3 linked regions of the Arabidopsis thaliana genome follow. The protein of the gene in region 3 interacts with the protein of the main gene of each other region in a pairwise test. Each region holds a gene or a part of one and is shown on either strand. Other genes may lie near its edges.

Evidence for each region. Proteins that work in one complex are often made in the same cells at the same time.
Region 1: the proteins of GRXC1 (region 3) and Cand3 interact in a protein complementation assay, tested with the Arabidopsis thaliana proteins (one large-scale study listed by BioGRID).
Region 2: the proteins of GRXC1 (region 3) and AAP3 interact in a protein complementation assay, tested with the Arabidopsis thaliana proteins (one large-scale study listed by BioGRID).

Annotation. Positions count from the first base shown.
Region 1 is NC_003074.8:21,837,478-21,843,303, reverse strand, and holds Cand3 (tobamovirus multiplication protein), read right to left. Parts: upstream 4,120-5,826; 5' UTR 3,971-4,119; coding exon 3,848-3,970; intron 3,370-3,847; coding exon of another isoform or gene 3,342-3,369; coding exon 3,291-3,341; exon of another isoform or gene 3,182-3,290; coding exon 3,148-3,181; intron 3,057-3,147; coding exon 2,970-3,056; intron 2,878-2,969; coding exon 2,826-2,877; intron 2,726-2,825; coding exon 2,542-2,725; intron 2,457-2,541; coding exon 2,361-2,456; intron 2,241-2,360; coding exon 2,180-2,240; intron 2,037-2,179; coding exon 1,972-2,036; intron 1,880-1,971; coding exon 1,805-1,879; intron 1,716-1,804; coding exon 1,640-1,715; intron 1,563-1,639; coding exon 1,387-1,562; intron 980-1,386; coding exon of another isoform or gene 956-979; exon of another isoform or gene 897-955; coding exon 855-896; 3' UTR 541-854; downstream 1-540. Other genes in the region: AT3G59080 (Eukaryotic aspartyl protease family protein), read right to left, coding at 4,885-5,826.
Region 2 is NC_003070.9:29,074,339-29,079,075, reverse strand, and holds AAP3 (amino acid permease 3), read left to right. Parts: upstream 1-1,685; 5' UTR 1,686-1,823; coding exon 1,824-1,917; intron 1,918-2,067; coding exon 2,068-2,301; intron 2,302-2,385; coding exon 2,386-2,479; intron 2,480-2,585; coding exon 2,586-2,800; intron 2,801-2,893; coding exon 2,894-3,033; intron 3,034-3,124; coding exon 3,125-3,483; intron 3,484-3,580; coding exon 3,581-3,875; 3' UTR 3,876-4,197; downstream 4,198-4,737. Other genes in the region: AT1G77370 (Glutaredoxin family protein), read right to left, coding at 4,434-4,489, 4,584-4,737. UniProt on the Arabidopsis thaliana protein: Amino acid-proton symporter. Stereospecific transporter with a broad specificity for GABA, tryptophan and both neutral and basic amino acids. High affinity transport of cationic amino acids.
Region 3 is NC_003076.8:25,284,477-25,288,198, reverse strand, and holds GRXC1 (Thioredoxin superfamily protein), read right to left. Parts: upstream 2,023-3,722; 5' UTR 1,848-2,022; coding exon 1,744-1,847; intron 1,137-1,743; coding exon 1,048-1,136; intron 965-1,047; coding exon 866-964; intron 768-865; coding exon 682-767; 3' UTR 505-681; downstream 1-504. Other genes in the region: AT5G63020 (Disease resistance protein (CC-NBS-LRR class) family), read left to right, coding at 2,197-3,722. UniProt on the Arabidopsis thaliana protein: Has a glutathione-disulfide oxidoreductase activity in the presence of NADPH and glutathione reductase. Reduces low molecular weight disulfides and proteins.

The DNA of each region.
Region 1 (5,826 bases), on a different chromosome or scaffold from region 3:
AATCGATTAACATATTTGTTAATTGATCTCCTTTTATACCAACTTTATAGAGAACGCAAAAGAAAAGAGATTGATAAAGATGGCTAAAGGGTTTTCTTCGAGAGACTTGTTAATTCTATATACATATATTTCTGCTTTTTTACGTCTAAGCTTTTTCATCTTTTGATCTTTCTTATCTTTTTGGCTCTCGCTTTTTGCTTTTTTCTCTGGGCATAGTACGAAGCTCTCTCTAAATTCTTTTGCTTAGCGAGGAAGGTGACAGTGGAGAAGAAAGACGAAAAGAGAAGACCACAAATATCCAAAAAGTTCTCAAACGGTTTTTTTAAGGATTTTTTTTTTCATATCAGATCCGTCAATTTTAGGATAACATCCAACAAACGATACCGTTTCGGGGTCTCAAATTTTTAATGTGAAAAAAAATGGCGCTAAAAGTTTAACAAAATCGCGCTAACAAATTTTCGAAAGAGGAAGCAATACGACATCGTATAATGCCCGTGCTATCTTTCGAAAACGGTGGCGTTTAATCTCAAACGTAATATGCCATCTTTAAAACCAGAATGATGCGTCGTCGTATATGTAAATGATAACAAAGCAGCTTAAACGACGCTGTTTAGAAAGGAAGACAAAATTATATCTTCCTTGGAACACATTTTATATCCATCCACAAGTCCCCCCAACACATGATGCTAAACTATAAATTGCAATCAAAAGTTAATATTTACAGACAGCTTTCTCAGATTCAAACCTCCATTTCTATCTTATAAACAAATTTTTGTATTCCAAGGCGACTCAGAGAGAAGAAAACGAGCTTGTTTCCACTTTCATTCACTCCACCACAACACACCACATTGGGCCTAAGAACCATTCTGCAATCCCACGAGGCTTTTTCCCGGTAACTACAAAAGAAGATTGGCGGATGTTTGCTTCAGGTCAATGATTATGATGATTGTTTGGTTCATATAGGACTTGCTTTAGACACCTGCGCCGTCGTTTCCGAACCAAAAACTGTTAAGTGACCTCCCTAAACAATCTATGGTCGATAAAAAGGAAACTCTGAAATAACCTCAGAAGTCACTAATAGAATGAAAACTTCTTTCTCATTTGAGGATTTTTCGTAGTGTTTCAACTATGTATTCATGTTCAGACCGCAATTCGTTCAAACCTTTCTCGAATGCTCTCAACATTGCGTTTATCTTAAAAGTGAGCATACGGTTTGAGTTTTTCTTATCTAAATAGAGTTAGTTAGCTATAAATATTGTGGTTTGCTTCGGTTTATATTCCCACCCCTAGTTTATCTGATGCATGCATTTACAGCTTACTATAAAACTCCTTGTATGTGTCAGACATGACTTCCTAATTTAGATGTTCATCAAGAGAATTGTATACCTGATTTTTCGACACTGTGGCGGAGGCCCAGTCTTGTTGAGGACCTTGAGGTTGCCTTGGAACAGTTTCATAGTTGACATAAGTAATCCTTCTGGTGTCTTCTTGCCTACTCACAATGTTTTGAGGGGGTAACTCCCGCAAAACCCATAAAACGAAAGCCAATGGGACGGTGGAACCTTTAAAAAGCGTTCTTATCAGTAACCCTGCATTTGAAGGTCTTCAAAACAACAAAACGAAAGAAAAAAATCTTCACCTATGAAATAGTATATGATCAGAAGAACCAATGCTTTGATGCCGTGTAATTTGCTTGGGTTCCAATGATAAAAGAGCTGAGATCAAAGATTGGTTTTGGTTAAATGTATCGACGAATGTTAGGTTTCGGTTTACAGACATACTTTTTTGAGTGATAATGACTTACTGGAATGTGTGTGAGAAGAGCGATTAAAGAGCTAACAGTGAAGCAAACAACTGAGACTCCTGCTAGACCCGATACCTATAAATGGTTAAAATGTACTTTCAGGGTAAGGATTCGACTGACATGTGCAAAGAAAGAAAAGCTTGTTGAGCCAAAGAATCATTAGTTACCTTTCGCATCTCTGATGAAACTTGTTCAGACCGCACCTTTCTTAGATTAAAGAGCAGACGCAGGCCTAAAGAACATAAAAGAGTTTGTGAATATACGCTGTTCAATCATAGCAATAAGCCAGTAAACCACTGACCAAAACATCTCACGAATTGCTAGAAGAAAAATATGAATAGCTGAAACCAGAAAAGAACTTAAGAAATCACTTACCATAGAAGCAGATTCCTCCTCCAGTGATTAGGATTATTGCAGCAAAAATATCGACATACACCTATATAAGGAAGTGAGTTTATCATAAAACCAGAAAAAATATAGACAAAAGTCTTCTATTTCTCGAGCTTAAGAACTTAGTGAAAGAGGAAATATCAATGTGCAGAGGAATACCACATACCTCAGCCAATAATGAAGAATTCATAGGATTCTTTCCGGAAGCGATCCAGATAAGGATTGCAAATGATATCATTAAGATGAACACAAGAATAATTGCCTAGCAAAAAAGATAAACATTTTTATAAAGATCATAGAAATGACTTGGCTAGAGGTTAATGCACAAAACTGAAAGTATCCCATACCGCAACAACAAACTTCTGCCGGGTTCCAACATGAATACCATGGAAAGAGCAACACTTTCTACGATCACTTGCATTCGAAGAACCTGGCTTGCTCTTGCTTTTTTCAAGCAACACTTGTTGGATGCTATTTTCTTCATCATCATCATCATCCTCCTCTCCATTTCCCTGATGGCAAACATCTACCCTATAACATGAAGAAGCATCATTGTCTTATCTCAGATCATTATTAAGATAAAATAATCAGGGACAACACAATATGATCAGAGTATTGAGAATATACATACCAGAAAGAGAGAAGCAGGAGAAAAGTTGCCAGAAACAGAATTTTGGGAAAGGCTGCAAGTACAATTTGATTCATCAGGGAATTAACTATAAGACAAATCAATGAAAAACATACACAAACCTTCACAAAGGAATGAAATATTTACCCATGAGTAGAAAACCTAATGCGTTGGACCAATGATGCCACCTTGTGCAAGTCGCTATAACCGCAGCCACGAAATAAATAACAGAACCTGCCAATATATACGAATAGAGACCTTACTCACTGGCTAAAACTTCCCCCAATTATAATTGTTCCTGAACAACAAATGACTGAGGATTTACCAGTGTTTGAAGAAGCAATCATAAGATGAAGTACCTGCAATTTTCATGATGGATGTGTCAGATACACGCCATGAAAAGTAACAATAACTGTAACCATATAACAATAACATAGAGCCTAAATTGGTTGGGATGAGAAGAAATACTTTTTGCCGAGTCCATCCAACTTGTTTATTCCGCCTGTGAAATCGAGATAACTGAAAGAAGTAGGCAGCCAAGATAAATCTTATAAGCCAAACCCCACAAAAAAAGAAGAGAATAAGACTTTTTTTTTATTACTTCACCGTCTAAAACTACATAGGAACCTTTGAAAAGAACATCTTAATCTACACACATAGCACTTAAAAAAGAAAAAAAGATTCTACTTTCTAATGCTAATAATTCATATCATATTCAGATTCCCTGAATCCAAATCTCTCATTCTACACAAACACACTTCAGCTCCGTGAGTTATTCATAGAGTTGACCTTTAAACTTAATGGTCAACCACATGAACAACAGACACACAACTCTAAAGACTGAAATCAACCAATTCATTAAATTCAACATCAAGAATCAATAATCTCACATCTCGTTTAATCAATAAGCACAATGCTTCACCTGTCCGAACAGGCCTTAACGGTCACACACAATCTAGCATTCACAAATCAAGACTGATTTTTTCTTTTTCTTTCAGGAAATCAGAAGAACCAAGAATCAGAACCTGAAGGAATGCGATGAAAGCAAGAGCGGCATCGATAAAAGCCAAACAGAGATTGACGGCGATGAAGCTAGGAGCATAGCATTTATCCTTGGTTGATTCGAAAAGAGTCGCTAAGATCTTCATCGTGAATCCGCTCTTTTCTTCTCGATCCTCCCCAAGAGATCGAATGCCTAGATTTTAGGTTTGTAAGAGAGAGAGGATCAAAGAACACCACCGAGACAGATGGTTGTAGGAGATGGGTTGGGTCTGGTCTGAGAGACAAAAATAAAAATTATTTTTTATATTTATATATTTCCTGGACAACACAATATACTATCTACTAAATTTAATTGCTACAAGTGGTACGGCACACTAGAATATACAACAATTACTGCCATAAATTAATTAATTAATTACTCTTGGCTTAAAAGAATTATTAAGTAATCAATATCTCTTTAACTAAAATTAATTATTAATTATTGTTAGAAGATGTAAAATGAGGGTTTTTTGTAAAAATCAGAACTAAACGAGTTATTTTTGCAAAACAGAGACACCTCTTTTCTGCAACTCTCTTCTCCGACCATGCTCAGGTACATAATCCGATTTCTTTTGTATAGTTTGTGTTCTGCAATAGACTCAAGCTTCTTTAGTTTCCAATTTCTCTAGATTTTCTGCATTTCTTTCAAATTGGATCAACAAAGACGATGATTTGACAACTCCTTTGCCTTAAAACCTTACCAAAGTGAGTCCTAAACTCACAAACAATTCAGGGATTACTAATCAAACTTTGACAATTCCAGTGACTACAAATTTACTTGTCATTGATGGTAGACTATAGAGTTTGAGAAAATGCATGTAGCAAGCAAAATTAAATCACTTTGTATTCAGAAATGAATTTGAATAAGTACATTAGTTTGGTATGATCTTTGTTCTACAGCAAATACATTACATGTTTGAAGGAATATCCTAAAGAATGAAAAAATCTAAAGGGAAAAAAATGAATCTGTTCTTATTGTGTGTTCAGTTGCTTTGATGGACTTAAAAATCGACAAGAAAGATTATATATCTGCACACTTTGTAGGTGCATACCCGAGCCTAGACCTCTTTGTATCATAGAGTATATGAAAATTCTGCTGCTGGTAGTTTCCAATGATTGAAAATGCTGATTTGGGAGTTCCTAGCATTGCCAAGCAAACCAAATCCTCATTCAACCATATGAAAGAATTCTCTGTCGGGAAGTTCCAAACAGCGCCATCTGCAAAAGCAATCCCAAGCTCTGGCAGCTGAACGTTATGAATGCCAGAGACGTTGAAGCAAGGATCTAGGATTGGAAAATCTCTATAGACCGGATACTTCCCTTTAGCTTTCTCAGCAATCTTGTTCTTGATGAATTCATATGCAGGTTCTGCGAAGTAACTTAAGGTTGTACCTGAATCAATGATCGTCCCTCCAGCTCCATCTGATGAGATATTCCATGTTTCTTCAGGTATGTTTAGAACTTCTCCCGCGACTAGAATGGATTTGATTTGTACGTAGTAAAATGTGTCGACGAGGTTTTCTTTCCCAGCGACAAAAGAAGTGAAGTTCAGATTCGGGTGACTTAACAAATCCTTGTCTTCTCCGAAAATCAGTTTGCTACTAACGTTGGTATCGCTGTTTCTGTCGACAAGGCAATAAGAGAAGGAATGACCATAAAGAGACTGAAGCTGAGAGGAAAACGAAAGCGGGCCTCTTCCTAAACCAAGCAAGCCTGCAGCACCATGGAAGAGACCTCGGTTCCAATGACCGCAACCGAACATCATATTTTCAACATTATACAACTCCGAGCTCCCTCCATTTGTCGTGAGGTTAACCGTGAAAGTCTCTACTGCAAAATCTCCGGTAGTGTTGGAGCTATCCCCATACCAGTAGTAGTAAGGGCATGATTGGTTATCTGATTTGCAGGGCATTGGAGGGTCAGGTGATGAGACTAGGTTGCATCTTTGGTCATTGCAAGTTAT
Region 2 (4,737 bases), on a different chromosome or scaffold from region 3:
AAAAAACTGGTACATTTTGTATGCATTTTTGCGGTTATAAACTTTGGAATTGTAAAGAATGAACTAGATTTTAACCCGCGGTACACCGCGGAGACAATTTATTTTTTTAAATTAGTATATATAAAATTTTACAAATTATGTCTATCTATAAAATATTTTTATTTTATAGTTTATAATTGTTATTAAGTAACGTCCTTCTAAACCCGTTCCACCAAACTCGTCCTGTAAAAATAAACCGCGGTACCCCGCTAATTTAAATTTATAATTAAAATAAATATTTTACGGGATTGCAATTGTGTTTTAGTTTGTCAAACAAAATTTTGTTTTAAATAGTTGTCGAAATGTAGTTCAAATTTTGGAGACATAAGATTTAGTGAATAGATAAGAAATATATTTAGTTGCGTTTCGCTCATTTTAAGGGATTGCAATTGTCTTTTGGGTTGTCAAACATTTTTTGTTTTAAATAGTTGTCGAAATCTATTTCAAATTTTGGAAAAATCTGCGTGATATATGGGATTGGAATATATTTCGAATGTTTTTTTATTTGTTAATCAATTTATTGCTAAAAAAACAATAATTAAAAGCCAATGGTAGCCATTGTAAATAAATTCCAACTCCAGGATTTATTTCACAAAATGACTGCAACAATGTATATATAGATTCTATTTTTATGAATATAATTCCCTTTATATTTGGAGACTATTTCCTTTGAATGATGACTTGTCTGAATACAAATCTTCTCGTAAGTCCTTAAAGGATATTTGGTTTCCCACGAATCAAGCCAATACAAGTTTGTGTATGTCATTTATGTTTAAATGAGTTTAGTTGGCAAAGTAATCAAAATATTTCATTTCGAGAAGAACATATAGCTTACACGCCTCATAAGTTAGTTACCTACAGAAACTTATATGGTGGGGTGATATACTTTCGGATTCTAGGTAAGATATAGTATATGTGCGTTACTATTGCTCATACTATAAAAATCACCTTTTGGTTTTGAGTTATCATTTTGAAATCTACACATGATTGCGTGTACTCATTATTTAAAGTCGGCATAGATTTCTCCATATATATGTCATGATTCCATGAATGTTCTTTTAACATCTTAATGCGATAACACTTTACATTGAAATATTCAAGAAAAAACCAAGCTGTTTTCTAAATAAATTTAGTTTGTCCACGGTTAATAAAATTTAAAATTAGCGAAATACGTAAATAATCAAATGATATAACCAAAATGCCTATTATTTTTAAAACAACATTTTATTTTCTCTAATCTCATAAAATACTCTAATAAAATCTAGTTGTAAGTGAAAATAACACTAAGCTTCAAACACACACGTACATGAATGTTTGTTTTTTTCTTTCAAAAAAGCTGAACAATGACATTTTAAGTCCAAATGAAAACGATGGTATCATCTTGGACTTCCAATTTTCCATTGCCCATATTTTCTCTTTTCTTTTGTTTTTATCCAATTGGTATCGAATCATTCATATAAAATTATAAATCATGAAGTCAAATTTTTCAATAGTAACACTTGAGTAATAGTGGTCCTACCAACTTTTTACCAAGACAGATATATTTTTTTTAATACACTTTTTACCTTTTACTGTGTTTGCCTCAAATGAGTGTTTTTACCAGTTTCTGTGTATATAAATCTGCACTCCACTCTCAGTTTATCTTCATCCACAAGACAGTTCTTTAACAAAGTCATTAAACATTTCCCTTACCTTCTAAAGATCAACTCTTTCAAACACTTACTCTGCATGTAACTTCATAGATTGAACGAAGAACCAAAAAAACAGAGCAAAACAAACAAAAGATGGTTCAAAACCACCAAACAGTTCTCGCCGTCGATATGCCACAAACCGGCGGCTCCAAGTACTTGGACGACGACGGGAAAAACAAAAGAACTGGTAACAATGTTTCTCTCTTTCTCTTTAATTCATATTGAGACTTGGTTCTCTAATTATTCAAAAAAATATTAATTTGAACTCGAAACCTGCTCTGATTTAGTTATGTTGAAAAAACGAGAAAGTTGAAAGTTTTTAAATTTTGGGTTTTAGGGAGTGTTTGGACGGCGAGTGCACACATAATAACGGCAGTGATAGGTTCGGGAGTTTTGTCACTAGCGTGGGCTACGGCGCAGCTAGGTTGGCTCGCCGGACCGGTGGTGATGTTGCTCTTCTCTGCCGTCACTTATTTCACTTCTTCTCTTCTTGCTGCTTGTTACCGCTCCGGCGACCCTATCTCCGGCAAGAGGAACTACACTTATATGGATGCTGTCCGATCAAATCTCGGTAAATACAAAACTTCAAAGTAGAAATCGGACAATGGAGATCAGATCAGAACAGAGCATTAACATTTTTCATTGTTCTGTATAGGTGGCGTGAAGGTGACGCTATGTGGGATTGTTCAGTATCTTAATATCTTTGGTGTTGCTATTGGCTACACAATTGCTTCAGCTATAAGCATGATGTGAGTGTTCTCACTAATTAACTCTTAAAACTACGAAGTTAGGTAATGGACCAAATAGGTTTTGATGATAATAAAAAATAAACAAAATTTTGTTTTTGAAAAACAGGGCAATAAAGAGATCAAACTGTTTCCACAAGAGTGGAGGGAAAGATCCATGTCACATGAACAGTAATCCTTACATGATAGCTTTTGGATTAGTCCAGATTCTATTCTCTCAGATTCCAGATTTTGATCAACTTTGGTGGCTCTCAATCCTCGCCGCCGTTATGTCCTTCACTTATTCCTCAGCCGGTCTCGCCCTCGGCATAGCCCAAGTTGTCGGTTCGTTTCTTGAACCATAAAGCTTCTAGGGTCTTAAATAAGAACTTTCATAGGTAAAAAACTAATAGGTTTTATGTGTTTTGGTTTCATCAGTTAATGGGAAGGTGAAGGGAAGTCTCACTGGGATTAGCATAGGAGCAGTAACAGAGACACAGAAGATATGGAGGACCTTTCAAGCTCTTGGAGACATTGCTTTTGCTTACTCTTACTCCATTATCCTCATCGAGATTCAGGTACTTATACCTTCTTTACAAGTCTTGATGATCAAAGCCATTAATTACTGGTCCCATCATGAAGCTTTTTTTATTCTGGGATCTGAAACAGGACACAGTGAAGTCACCACCATCAGAAGAGAAGACGATGAAGAAGGCAACACTTGTGAGCGTCAGTGTAACGACTATGTTCTATATGTTGTGTGGATGTATGGGATATGCAGCCTTTGGAGACTTGTCTCCGGGAAATCTCTTAACCGGTTTCGGGTTTTATAATCCTTATTGGCTTCTTGACATTGCAAATGCAGCCATTGTGATTCACCTTATTGGTGCATACCAAGTCTATTGCCAACCTCTGTTTGCTTTCATCGAGAAGCAAGCTTCCATTCAATTCCCTGATAGTGAGTTCATTGCAAAAGATATCAAAATTCCAATTCCTGGTTTCAAGCCTCTCCGCTTGAATGTCTTCAGGTACAAATCTTGCCTTTAAACTAATGGGATCTGAGTTTTAAACATGATGTGTATGTAATAATCAAAGCTTCTGTGTGGCGTGGAATGGCTTACTCAGGTTGATATGGAGGACAGTGTTTGTGATCATAACGACAGTTATCTCAATGCTTCTTCCGTTTTTCAACGACGTTGTGGGTCTGCTCGGGGCACTAGGGTTTTGGCCATTGACGGTGTATTTTCCAGTGGAAATGTACATCGCGCAGAAGAAGATACCTAGATGGAGCACCAGATGGGTTTGCCTTCAAGTCTTCAGCTTAGGGTGTCTAGTAGTTAGCATTGCTGCAGCTGCAGGGTCCATAGCTGGAGTACTTCTTGATCTAAAGTCCTACAAGCCATTTCGAAGCGAATACTGATCAACTTGAATAGTAGCCAATTCAAAGCGATGACTAAGTCAGTTTTAAACACAATGGATTTATCAAGAACAGTCAAGAGAACCAAGAACCATGAATTTGGGAATTTTGATCAGCTTTTTTTTATATAGATAGAAGCAATAATGCTGTTAGTTCTTCTCTATAATCTTCTCTGTACCCTGAAGGCAAGAATTGTAGTCCTAATGAGTAAATCTTCGATTAATGACAGAGTCATGTGCTGCAACAGAATCATGAACTAGCACCATAATAGTATATTACCATTGTGGTAAAATTTCAATAACAAGTTCTTGTACTTGCTCTTCTTTCCATGATCTGATATTTGCCGTATGAACCATTCACTAAGGCACACAAGTATGGATTATTTAAGCGAAACAATCACCAGAGCAGTGCAGTAACAAAAGATCAAGACTTTATCAATGCCATCATAACTTACATAACTGAGTCATACATATCAATTCGCTTATTCAGTCTACAACTAGCAAAGATTTCTAATTCCTGTAAATCACATACTGTAGATTCCACATTCGAGGTCCTCAAATATCAACTTGCAGCAAGAAGCTTTTGCAACTGACCACTCTCCAAAGCAGCTCCAAGATCTGAAGCAACAAGATAAACAGCCAAGGCTTGTGAGTTACAAGGGAAATTTGGACAAAAGAATGAAACTTGGAGGAGATAGTGAGCTCATCATACCATCTGATCCACCAATATGCTTGCCGTTAACAAAAACTTGCGGGACAGTACGACGACCAACGAATTCTAAAAGCTCATACTGGATTTGATCTCCGTCCTCTGCAAAAACAAATCTCTCAGAAGTTTTAAGAAACAGTTCAATTCTCATAAACAG
Region 3 (3,722 bases):
AACTTTGTCTTTTCTTCTACAACGCTTCGCTTGAACACACTCTCTGGTCAAATTCAGTTTCCTCAGTTTCTCTTCTTTAACCGGCTCTAGATAATATTTACTAATTGACCCCACAAGTTCTCTTAAACTACGATTTTGCACTATACTTTATAATAAATCTAGATTAACCAAATTGACATTATTCATTGCCATTGGACATTGGTTCTCCGAATTTGGATTACACAAATCAGTGAAAAATGTACTTGTGCTGTTCGAATCCGAATTTGGATTACACAAATCAGTGAAAATGCACTTCTGCTGTTCGAATATTCATTTCTCTTTCAATCGTAACTTTCCGTTGATCGATTTGGCTAATATTAGTTTTTCAGCCTTTAAGGCACCTACACGGCCGGTTACTAGATAAGTTTGGTTCAACCAAAAGCCTTAATCCACCTACTTGACCGGCCTGCTACAAAGTCAACTTGGGATGCAACCAGTAATCTTCAGTAATTTAGAGCAAGAAACTAGAGCAGATTTCTCAAGTTTTATTCCATTAACCGAAACACCAACATGAAAAGTATACACTTAGATATTCTGTATTAAACAACGGGAATGATCTTTCTTTATTGAGTATGTGACGATACCTCTTTTTTCATGATCTAAACACAACACACACTCTTCACACACTAGTTTCGAGTTTCATCAAAGTTGAGAAGAGTTATCTGCAATAGCCCCAGCTTCAGTAAGTAGAGGCACAAGCTTGCCTTGCTTGTTGGTCTCCATCACTCCTGCAAAATATAGAAGCAACACGAAAAACGCAGTTAGTTTTTCCGGCAACCCGAATTTCCATTATTGTGCAGAGAATTTGTGTAGGTTTTTCACTTACTATCGCATCCACCGATGTGGTTTCCTTTGATGAAGACGTTTGGAACTGTGGTCTGTCCAGTCCACTCTGATAAAGCTGATTGGATCTCACCTCCATCACCTGAAGTAAACATAGCATCGAGATAATTCAGGTTCATTGAGATATATTAATATACAGGTATTGACAGGGATTTGGTTTCATACTCATTTCATCGAGCTCAAGTACTTTAAAAGTTGCTCCTAGCTGCGTCAGTAACTGCTTCACCCTCTGGCAATAACCACAGTATGTCTTGCTGCGAAAGAGAAAATATGGATCAGAGCTAAGACATTACATTTGAAAAGTAACCTTTAGACCATCTCAAAAAGTGGAAAGAAATACGTTCCTTTTAAGACTAAGCAAAATCAAACTCAAGACTCTAAGCAACAACAAATTAAGCTTCATTTCAAAACTCCGAAAGGCATCCCCAAATCAGTCATAGGAGCTTGCACGGATCAATCTTCAAAAACTCTAGCTTCTTCAAAGATTTCTAGACTAGTCAGAATCAAATTTGAGAACTGGATCTATCAGTATATATTACATGATCACATCCCTAATCGTCTAGGGAACCCACAAATAATCTCTGAATTGGATGGAGAATCACTAATATAAGATGATGTTCGATCTTTCATTCACGACCTAATTTCACAGATGGAAACAACAAAACAAGCAGACAATGATCCATTGGTGCCTCTGCGTCAAATAGAAGCAGACTCTACCCCCTGATGGTAAAGACTCAAACTTTTTGACTAATTCAAAACCCCTCAAGGCAACAACATCCAATTTTCTCAACAAATTCATAATCACGAACGAAAAGAGTAATACCCAGATGAAAAAGATGGGAGATTTCAACGAGAACAAACCTGAAGACAACAACGGGATAAGCAGAGACGATCTCTTTAGCCTTGTTCACCACCACCTCCATCTCTTCCTTGCTCATTCGGTTTCCACTGAACATTGAACCCATTTCTTCTTCTCTTAACCAAAGACGACCACGACACAACTCCTACAGATGTCCTCTGCTCGAGTTTTGTGCCAATCTTGCTGGCAAATGAAGTTTTTATCTCTTTCAATCAAACCTCAGTCAATATTTATTAAAGAGTTATTTGCGTTGAAAAAAAGTTATCTTTCTGAAATGATACTCTTTTAGTCTTTTTTCGTAGAAATTTCTCTTTTCAGAATATTGTTTAAAGTTTACAATAGCGACGACTTTAGAGTTTGGATTATTGTCAATTTTCACAACTCAGCAGCTCTTATCCTTTTTCTTCTTCTAGTTCTCTGCCACAAGTTTACTTCTTCTTTTGTGTAAACGCAGGATGGGAGGTTGTGTCTCTGTATCAATATCATGTGATCAGTTGACGAAGAATGTTTGTAGTTGCTTAAACAGGAATGGAGATTACATTCATGGCTTAGAGGAGAATCTGACAGCTCTGCAGAGAGCTCTTGAGCAGATTGAGCAAAGACGAGAAGATTTGTTGAGAAAGATTTTGTCTGAAGAAAGACGAGGTTTACAACGACTTTCTGTTGTGCAAGGATGGGTTTCAAAAGTTGAAGCAATAGTACCTCGAGTTAACGAACTCGTCAGAATGAGATCTGTTCAAGTCCAAAGGTTGTGTCTTTGTGGGTTTTGTTCCAAGAATCTTGTCTCAAGCTACCGTTATGGGAAGAGAGTAATGAAGATGATAGAGGAAGTTGAGGTTCTTCGATATCAGGGAGATTTCGCTGTGGTGGCTGAGAGAGTTGATGCAGCAAGAGTGGAAGAGAGGCCTACTAGACCTATGGTTGCTATGGATCCAATGCTTGAGAGTGCGTGGAACCGTCTAATGGAAGATGAGATTGGGATTCTTGGTCTTCATGGTATGGGTGGAGTAGGTAAAACTACACTTCTCAGTCATATCAACAATAGATTCTCTAGAGTTGGGGGCGAGTTTGATATTGTGATTTGGATTGTGGTCTCCAAAGAGTTACAGATCCAGAGGATCCAAGATGAGATATGGGAGAAGTTACGGTCTGATAACGAGAAGTGGAAACAGAAAACAGAGGACATAAAAGCATCTAACATTTACAATGTGTTAAAGCACAAAAGGTTTGTCTTGTTATTGGATGACATATGGAGTAAAGTGGATTTAACAGAGGTGGGAGTTCCGTTTCCGAGTAGAGAAAACGGATGCAAAATAGTATTCACCACTCGGTTGAAAGAAATCTGCGGGCGGATGGGAGTTGATAGCGATATGGAAGTCCGGTGTTTAGCCCCGGATGATGCGTGGGATTTGTTTACTAAGAAAGTAGGAGAGATCACATTAGGGAGCCACCCTGAGATTCCCACAGTCGCAAGAACAGTTGCTAAGAAATGTCGCGGCCTACCATTGGCCCTTAACGTCATTGGTGAAACAATGGCATATAAAAGGACAGTGCAAGAATGGCGTTCAGCAATCGACGTTTTGACTTCATCTGCAGCTGAGTTTTCAGGTATGGAAGATGAGATTCTACCTATTCTAAAGTACAGCTATGATAATTTAAAAAGTGAACAGCTCAAATTGTGCTTCCAGTACTGTGCTTTGTTTCCAGAAGATCATAACATTGAGAAAAATGATTTGGTAGATTACTGGATAGGTGAGGGATTCATAGATAGAAACAAAGGTAAAGCTGAGAACCAAGGTTATGAAATTATCGGTATTCTAGTTCGTTCATGCTTATTGATGGAGGAGAATCAAGAAACGGTGAAGATGCATGATGTGGTCCGAGAAATGGCATTGTGGATAGCATCTGATTTTGGAAAGCAAAAAGAAAACTTTATAGTGCAAGCGGGCTTACAGTCGAGGAACATACCTGAGATCGAGAA